Caenorhabditis elegans: one gene and its partner. The protein of the gene in region 1 purifies or fractionates together with the protein of each later gene. This does not show direct contact. Each region holds a gene or a part of one and is shown on either strand. Other genes may lie near its edges.

Region 1 (5,248 bases):
AATGTATATCAAGATAAATTTATAATATATGTGGTACTCTCTATTTTATCCTCACTCTCTTATTTCAATTGTCTTAGTGCTCTTTTGGCCGATCTGAGCCATTAAAATGTCTCAATGTTCATAGAATATTCACAACTCTTTTTTCAAAAACCTAAAAAAAAGGAGAAAAAGAGTTGAACAACATGAAATTGTGGCAAAAGTCGAAAGTTTAAATATTTCGGCACAAAAAGTGCTCCCAATGGAACTCATTCATTGCTTCCCTCTCACTATTAAAGCCTCGAAACGGAAACTTTTTGTTTCAAATCTTTTCCCGATTTTTGGTTCTCAATATTCACACACATTCCCCCGAATGAGAAGTCTCGAAAGATTCTTTTTTTCGGTTTTGATTCAAAAGGATTTCTCACCCACATACATTCTTTTGACGTATTCACCCTCAGGGGTATATACAATAAGAGTTTTTCAGTTAGAAAGAAGAGACTCTTACTTTTCCCTTATTTACTTCAAGAAAAGTTTTTTGTTGGATTTTCATGTAAACCTACTTATCAATTGTTATCATAATTTGTTTTGACTTTCTTTGTAAACCAAAATATTTCAGATTGAGTGCAATTGTTTTGTTCTCTAGAATTTCGTACAGTTATATTGTTCAAAAATCTTGAACATTTACTAGCACACTAATTACAAAAGTAGTAATTAAAACCAAGTATCTTAGATATTTCGACATATCAAATTTTGTTTGTTGTTCTTGTACATACTATAAAACTAATTTTATAAACTGGTATGAAGTATTTACGACGAAATTTGTGAAGATAAACGGGTTTTCATATAATTTATCATAGTAACCATGTCTTGTGAGCATTAAATCTTAAAGAGTTTCAGAAAAAGAACTGCAACGAAAAAGTCTCTGAATGAGACATGAAAATGAAGCAGTGATGGCTCGACCGGTTGAATTTTGAGCTACGAATAACCAAATCAGATATTATAAAAGTTTAAAGCTATAGTGACGTTATTTTGCATTTACCTTACTACTTTAGTTTAACAAAATCCAAGTTAGTGGATTCTTTTAAAGAATTTTCATAATCATATTATACAACATTTTTATCGTTGATTGACCCCACCAGTGTGCTCCCTGTGTTGTCCGTTTATCGTCATCATCTCTTCATTTTACTTCTCATCTGTTTGCTTTTCAGCTTCCTCCTCCATTCCTTCTGTTTTCTCACCCCATCTCTCTAATTACTGTACTATCTAATACATGACCAGCACATTGTGAGACTTTTCGCATTTTTCGGAAATACAAAAAAGAAAAGTTGCAAAAATTCAGTGCACCGACAGAGAGGTCAACGTTGAGTCCAATGAAGATAAATATAGAAAGATTGGGAGAATTTTTTGGATAGCAAGTAGGAGTTTTAGAGATAATAGACTTCATCCGTAAGTTCATGCAAAATGTGATTTAAAAAAATTGAAGTTGCTATAAATAATTTTTGAAATAGTCGCAAATGCAGTGCAGTGTGGAACCTTTAAATTTTACTAAATATTTAGATTAAAAATTTAAACTATTAAATCTACAAAGACAGTTTAAAAAACTCTTAAAAAACAAATTCGAGTAGGTGGAAAGCTGAGAAAACATTGTTTAATAAGTAGAATAAACAAGAATGATGTGAACAATAATGATTTCACACCTACACCCACTAGGTACATACAAATATCCCCTACAGACAAACAGACACACAGACAGACCTTCAAATGTTCTTTGAGACATATTTAATCAAAAATTCGAAAACAAAAACACGTTCATTTGAATATTTACCCCATCACCTTCCTTCAATTAGTCCATATTTCCGTTTAGCCCCATCTCCAAAAAAATTTTCGTTGGCTTCATCACTTCATTAGCATATCATCATCATCTTTCGTCTCACCATTTTCTGAAATTCTTGGTTTATTCTTCTCCTCACTAAAATATTTCCTCTGATTAAACATCAAAATGATTCACGATCGTTTCCGTTATTCAGTAATGGATTTCACACGTGAAGCATTGCTCGCCGAGCTGGAGCTGAAGGATGACATAATTGAACAGCTGAGAAAGGAACTTGATGAATATCGAATGATGAATACAACAAGAAAAACTGCAATCTCTTCTGAACCGGATATTCAAGTCAAAAGACCAATTATTGGAAAAAGTGATGCGTTAGTTTTTTTTCTGTTTCAAGCTCATCTCAAAACTCCATCTGCTTTTCTATAACTGACTTATATTTGCCACGTAATAGATACACAAGTCAAACTACAGTAAAAATACTTATGTTTAGCCACGTAGGCTCATAATACAATAGAGAACACACCAATTACGTGATAAAACCAAAATTTTGGAACGGTGCTCAGTCAAGAGCGAGTCACGGCAATTCGGTCCAAAACCATTTCTAATTAGTAAACTCTCAAAAACCACAACTAATTAGCTTAAAATCATTGCTAATTAGCAAAAATAAGCTAGTAAACTATTAGTAAACTCTCAAAAACCACAACTAATTAGCTTAAAATCATTGCTAATTAGCAAAAATAAGCTAATTTACAATGGTTTTAAGCTAATTAGTTGTGGTTTTTGAGAGTTTACTAATTAGAAATGGTTTTGGACCGAGTTGCCGTGACTCGCTCTTGACTGAGTGTCTATAGGCGAACACCTCAGAATAAAGCCCATCACATCAATTTTGTAAAATTTATTTTTTTGATAAACATATAATTTTCTCAAAATAGATAATCTCCAAGTCAACAAGAATGTAACCTAGAAAAATAAGAATCCTCGTTTATAACATGGTGTTGACATAAATAATTACAGAACATAGACTCATGACAATGATTTTTAAATGAACTTTTTTTTTCAAGTTTTGGTATACCAAAAACAAATGTTTATTAAATAGCTAGATTAAAAAAAACGCCTTTACCATATTTTTTCAAAATATTTGTCAAAGATGCAAAAATATGTCTAGCTGGTCACCTTGTCCGAGATTACGAAAATTTACAGTAAAGTTTCAAACTAAGTGTCTGATAATTTGTCAAAGATTGAGTAGCGTGAGTGGGGATTAAATATACAAAATAGTCTAAGGTAGAGTTGGTAAACCGGACTAAACCTGGTGCCCGGTGTTTCCGGATTTTGGGCGATCCAGTGCCTATTTTCTGGGGTGTTATAGAGGTTTATCAATATTTTTAATGACAGATTCAAACATTTTGATAATACTCTATTTCAACATAAAGCTAGGTTCTTTAACTTGTATTATGACCCTACGTGGCTAAACATACTGGACAAATCGTTCCAATTCTCCAAAAACTGCAATATCAAAAAATCACAATATTTTGGTGTACATTGAGTTCAAGCCGTTCAAAGATATTGGCAAAAACTCTTTCATCAAATTCTTGCTACACTTTTCTTGAAAAAATGTTAAACTCCTTGTCAAATATGAGTCGAAAAGAAACCAGACAAGTCCATTGTGATAAAAAAACATGTGCTTTGCCCTCAAGTCGACATGAGAATAAGTGAATGGTATCATGTCAGTTTGTTCTTCCGAAATAAGAAGCTTCGAACGGGAGAGAGCTCTTCTTTGCTCTTTGCACGGAATTTTTGTGCTCTCATTCCTCAGTTTTTCTTCTTCTCTCTAAGTTCGCACAGATTACTGTGTCTCATATGGGCGGTCCCAAGATAATATAAACTCTGGACTTGACCTCTGTATTTCATTTGGATACCATTCAACTTTGGTAGATTTTGATTAAAAATTTCCATTCTGGGAACTTGATCTGAAAAATGAAATCTTTACGCTACAGAAGAGATTTATTCCGTAGTAGAACTCAACGGTATATACCAAAGAGGTTCGTTCTTATGTTTGCTTTTTAACTTTTTGACTGCATCATTTTTGCAAAGATCCCAGACAATACGTCACAAAGATTTTTACAAGAAAACGTGCAATGTACTTCTTTTATTAGTATTGCACCCTCACTACTTTACTTTGATAGCATATCTAGCTTGTCCTCAATTTTCTCAAAGATATATTTACGCTTCTTTTATCAGTTAAAAGAACTTTCGAACCCTTATTGTTGAGAATAGGGGCGAAATATTTATTAATTGGGAAAATATTGTACGTACATTAGAAATGTTCCTTGAAATGCATAATTGAACTACTTTTCTATGTGCAAAATATCAAAAGACCAAAATACCAATTTACTATTTTACTAAATTGGCCAATTTTATTAAATTTTGGAGTTTCGGCTTTACTGGGCTTTTATAGTAAGAATGTCCGTCTTTAAGTGCCTGCCTACCATCTACTTTTTGCCTCTTGTGAGAGAATGTAGGATTAGGTTAGTTTAAAAGATTATTTACGAAATGAACAAAAAATTCCGCATCGTTTCAATAATTTCTAGTTTTCAGAGCTTTCGAAACAATCGGAAATGCATTGCGTCTCAACTCGTTCCTTCGTAATTTGGATGCAACTCAAATTGAGAAAATCTCATCTGCGATGTACCCCGTAGAAGTTCCAGCTGGTGCAATAATTATTCGTCAAGGAGATCTTGGATCAATTATGTATGTTATTCAAGGTGAGTTCTTGTCATTTCAAAGCTATTATTCAAAAATGAATTAAATGAAATCAATTAAAGAAGGAAAAGTTCAAGTTGTGAAGGATAATCGATTTGTACGAACAATGGAAGATGGAGCACTATTTGGAGAGCTTGCTATTCTTCATCACTGTGAAAGAACTGCAACAGTTAGAGGTAAATCAGAAAAAAAACGCGTATTTCAAGGAATCTGTAGATCCCTTCAACTATAAACAATATTTGTTTATTTTTAGAATGTTTCATTTTTATTTTCGGTGTATTTATTTCCCGTTTCAAATTCAATTAGTAATCCAAAAACAATACGAAAACTTGCTACAACACTGTCAACAACTTGCATGATTTGCAAAAGGATAATAGATTTGTATTTTATTTTTTCTGAGCTATTTTTTTTTGGAATTTTTGGAAAATAAACCCTGACCAGAAAATTATTATAGTTTGTTGACAAATATCTCACTGAATGACTAAGTTTAATCACAACATTCGGCGATCCCAAAAACGTTTACAACAACATTCTTCTGGGATTACTTGTAATTTCAAATTTCAAATTTCAAATCTCAAAGACGTTTATCTCTGTTTTCCGGCATATCAGTGATAGACAGTCCCTTGTTTTTCAACTAACAGGCAAAACAAAAAATGACGAATTGAACAATACATCATT
Region 2 (3,582 bases), on another chromosome or scaffold:
GCATTTATGCGGAATGGTCTCGCCACGCGCTGCGAACGAATTCAAAAATTTGATGTGTGCACCTTTAAGGTTACTGTAGATTTTGCTCAAAAATCTCCATCGTTTTTTGTCGTTTTCTTCCTTCACTAATAAAGAAAGAATACATTTATTTCGTTTTTGAAACTATTATTATGAGTAATTTGAATACAAATAATACAGAAAATTGAGAAAGGAACTTGTAAAAACAAAGTATTGTATTGTATTGTATTGTATTTATTACGATTCAAATCGTGATCAAAAATAAATAAAAATAAATAGTGAATAGACATGAATAAGTTAAGGCCGAAACATCATAGAGAGATTGATAATAATCACAAAAATTGATAATAAACATACAGTATTGGAAGAAAACAAGAAAAATCGATGGATTTCAGTGCAAATTAATACAGTAATCTTAAAGGCAGATATTCAAAGCTTTTTAAATCAGTTCACCGCTCGTGTCGAGACCATTACTCTTTAAACTCTTCAAAATCGTAGAAGAGGAAAATAATGGAAAATAACTTCGTTCTTCCAAAAGCAAGTGAATGTGCTTTTCAAAATCTGAACATTTCTAAATACAAAGTTTTGGAAGTGTACTTTTTTACAACCATAATTATATTATAACAAACAGTAATTTTCAGTCAGACACCATTTTCATATTTCTCGATGCTGAAAAATTTGCAACAACTTAGGATAATCCCAAAGAACCGATCCAAATGAGAAAAAATACCATGCCCTATAACCGGTTTCAACTGAACCTAAAATGTCGTGATCGACCTTTCGTCGAATGCATGCCCATTCAACGTTGAGCCGATTTGAGTGCTATTTCAACATGAAATTTTTGATTCTGTCCTTTCTTCTCGTATCAATTTGCTCTGGAGGTGGTGGATTCCCGATTCAAATGTTGACAAAATGTGGAATTTCAAAAGAAACCATTGATGGCGTTCAAAGTGTAATCGACGAACATTCGGTATTTTTAAAACGACTTCTTAGATATTGAAAAATTTTTCAGGCAATGATTAAAATTGCTAACTCGAACAAGCGTGCCAAAAAAACCGAAATCGATTCTTTGAAGGCAGATATTGATTTATATTTAGATGAACATGCATCTGACGACGACAAGGTAGGATTTCTAATCTAAATTTTACATATTTATTTTTTCCAGAAAAGATGGATTGAGTGCTTCACAAAGAACAACTCCTAATTGTCTTGATTTTTCACTTTTTTTTTGAATAAAAAATTTTAACGTGTTGATAAGCTGTAACACTTTATATTCATAACAACAACGTAACAAACGTCATTTATGCGTCAGTCTTTTGGACCTTAGCCTTCTTCACTTGGGAGCGGACGATGGCGGCGGCACGACGTTGAGCGAGCTTGTTGAACTTGTTGAATCCGGCGTTCTTGGCCAAGCGACGGACTGAAGCAACTGGGGTCTTGCTCAAGGTGGAGGTGGTGACGGCCTTGGCTGGTCTTCCCTCTGAGAAAAAACAGTGTAAAAAATAAATTTTTAAAAAATCTCTTACTCTCGTTCTTGGTAGATACAACGACTCCCTTGGCGGCGGCGCTGACGTCGATGGCGTGCTTGTTAGCGAGTCCACTGTATTTTGGGCTGTTCACCTTCTTGAGGTTGAACTTCTCAGTGGAGAATCGCTTTCCGATTCCGCGCTGGGTTCTGAGGAAAGCGCTGTTGTTGCGGATGACTTGCCACACGAGAGCGTCGGACATTTTACCTGGAAATAAATTATTTTATGATGAAAGTTAAATACAATAAGATACAACGGGAAACGTAAGAAAAATTCAATAAAATCAATTGTACACGTAGGTTTTCAAGCAAATTTAAGAATACAATTTTACAAAGTCCTAAATGTCATTTTTCCTGCTCAAACTTTTGACTGAAATGCATAAAAATTCGCTGATAAAAACAAGCAGAATACGCCAAAATAGTTGCAAATTATAAAATTTACAGAATTAATACAAAAAATTCGATATTTTACTCAAAAAAATGGAAAAAAAGAAGAAAAATAAATTAAACTTTCGTTGAGCTGGCCTAAAATCTAATAGCAAGCGCGCTCCATTGCCAAACGGTGTAAACGCGGAGCCTCGTTTGCGTGTAGTTTTTATCGTAAATCGACACAACTTCTTTCAAAATAAATTATTTCTTATGAGTAATTTTCTGCATTCTATTGTTGTGTTTCAATTAATCTTATTTTTAATTTGATTTTATTCAAAATTATATAATTTTATTAAGATGCTGGGTTCTTCTCTCCGCATTTTCTCCCCTCGAGCAGTTTCCAGGTTGTCTTTTTCAACAACTTCAGTCGAAAAAGCTGAGAAACTTTGGGAAAATCCATGGAAACATGCTCTCCCTGAAAAGTGTAAGTTATTTATTATCATATAATTTTTCTACTAGCAATTACAGCCAGAAGTCTTGCAACGGTCGAAGAAGCTCCTATCGATTGGTCGTATGTGGAAAGATTGATGCCAATAGAAGTGGTGCCGAATGTTCCTGAGCACGAAAAGTATCCTACACCAAGCGGATGGACACCACCGACAGGTATATACAGATTAAATTCATACCGCATCGAAATATTTCAGAAGCAGCCAAGACACATCAATACTACATTCGACGTCGTCATGACCATCTTCTTCCTCTTTATTTGGAACGAAAAAGGGATTTACTGAATGAGAAAACGTTGGATTTTGATTATGTCGAGCTAGTAACTATCAGAAACGTCGACGGAGACATTTTTGTAAGTTGGGAACATTATTAAATCCTGAATCAACATAAATATCTTTCAGGCTTGCGAAAATGATCTCCGCTCCTATCTTGAAGAACATCTTGGACATTCGATCGCCAGTCACGTCGATGAGTTGAAAGGTCGTATCAAAATTAAAGGAGCTCCACGTGTTCTTATTGAGCAATTCTTCTACAGCAAAGGATTCTAGATGTATTCTTGATATATCTTTTAGTTTTTTATCTAGGCAGATTTGTTTTGTTGTGAATTTATTGTTGGAGAATGAACTAGAAAAATTCAATTGTCTACTTTATCATTTTTACCTTCAAACCGGTTATTTCACCGTCATTTCCTTATTCTCTTCATTTTGTATCATTGCGAAATGCCGAAATTCTTCTCTAGAATGCCTTCCTCAATTTGTTGCACAAACTGCAGAACTAAATATTCATTATTAAACAGAGAAGTTATTTTCTGGCATCAAAAACTAATTAATTTCTATTTTTTCAGGCCGGCTGCTCGAATTGTGCTCTCTCCTTCTGTAAGAAATGTCTGCCTCATCGTGCAATTATTCCCACACTTTCGGATTTACCAATGATTGTCTGTAACAATTGCTATCAAAAATTGGAATCTGCCAAAATGAAGCCCAGCGCGACTGTAAGAAAAAGAACAAAGTAAAAACTAAATAGATATTAATCCCACGATTTTTTTCAGATAACATCAACGCCTCTACCAGATAATTCGAATAAATCGAATAAAAATTGGTGGGGTGATGGACTTCCACCGCCATCATTCAGGAATTCGCACACAAATCAAAATCAGATTAAAA

Evidence for each region.
Region 2: the proteins of pkg-2 (region 1) and mrpl-49 fractionate together in Caenorhabditis elegans (co-fractionation; one large-scale study listed by BioGRID). This does not show direct contact.

Annotation. Positions count from the first base shown.
Region 1 is NC_003282.8:8,518,888-8,524,135, forward strand, and holds the start of pkg-2 (cGMP-dependent protein kinase), read left to right. Parts: upstream 1-2,006; 5' UTR 2,007-2,008; coding exon 2,009-2,181; intron 2,182-3,715; exon of another isoform or gene 3,716-3,784; coding exon of another isoform or gene 3,785-3,849; intron 3,850-4,405; coding exon 4,406-4,572; intron 4,573-4,632; coding exon 4,633-4,746; intron 4,747-4,903; exon of another isoform or gene 4,904-4,924; intron 4,925-5,248.
Region 2 is NC_003283.11:12,726,362-12,729,943, forward strand, and holds mrpl-49 (Large ribosomal subunit protein mL49), read left to right. Parts: upstream 1-2,269; coding exon 2,270-2,396; intron 2,397-2,440; coding exon 2,441-2,575; intron 2,576-2,616; coding exon 2,617-2,771; intron 2,772-2,820; coding exon 2,821-2,967; 3' UTR 2,968-3,056; downstream 3,057-3,582. Other genes in the region: R11D1.13 (DUF148 domain-containing protein), read left to right, coding at 851-988, 1,031-1,141, 1,184-1,222; rpl-28 (Large ribosomal subunit protein eL28), read right to left, coding at 1,320-1,498, 1,545-1,746; zfyv-19 (FYVE-type domain-containing protein), read left to right, coding at 3,160-3,219, 3,264-3,410, 3,468-3,582.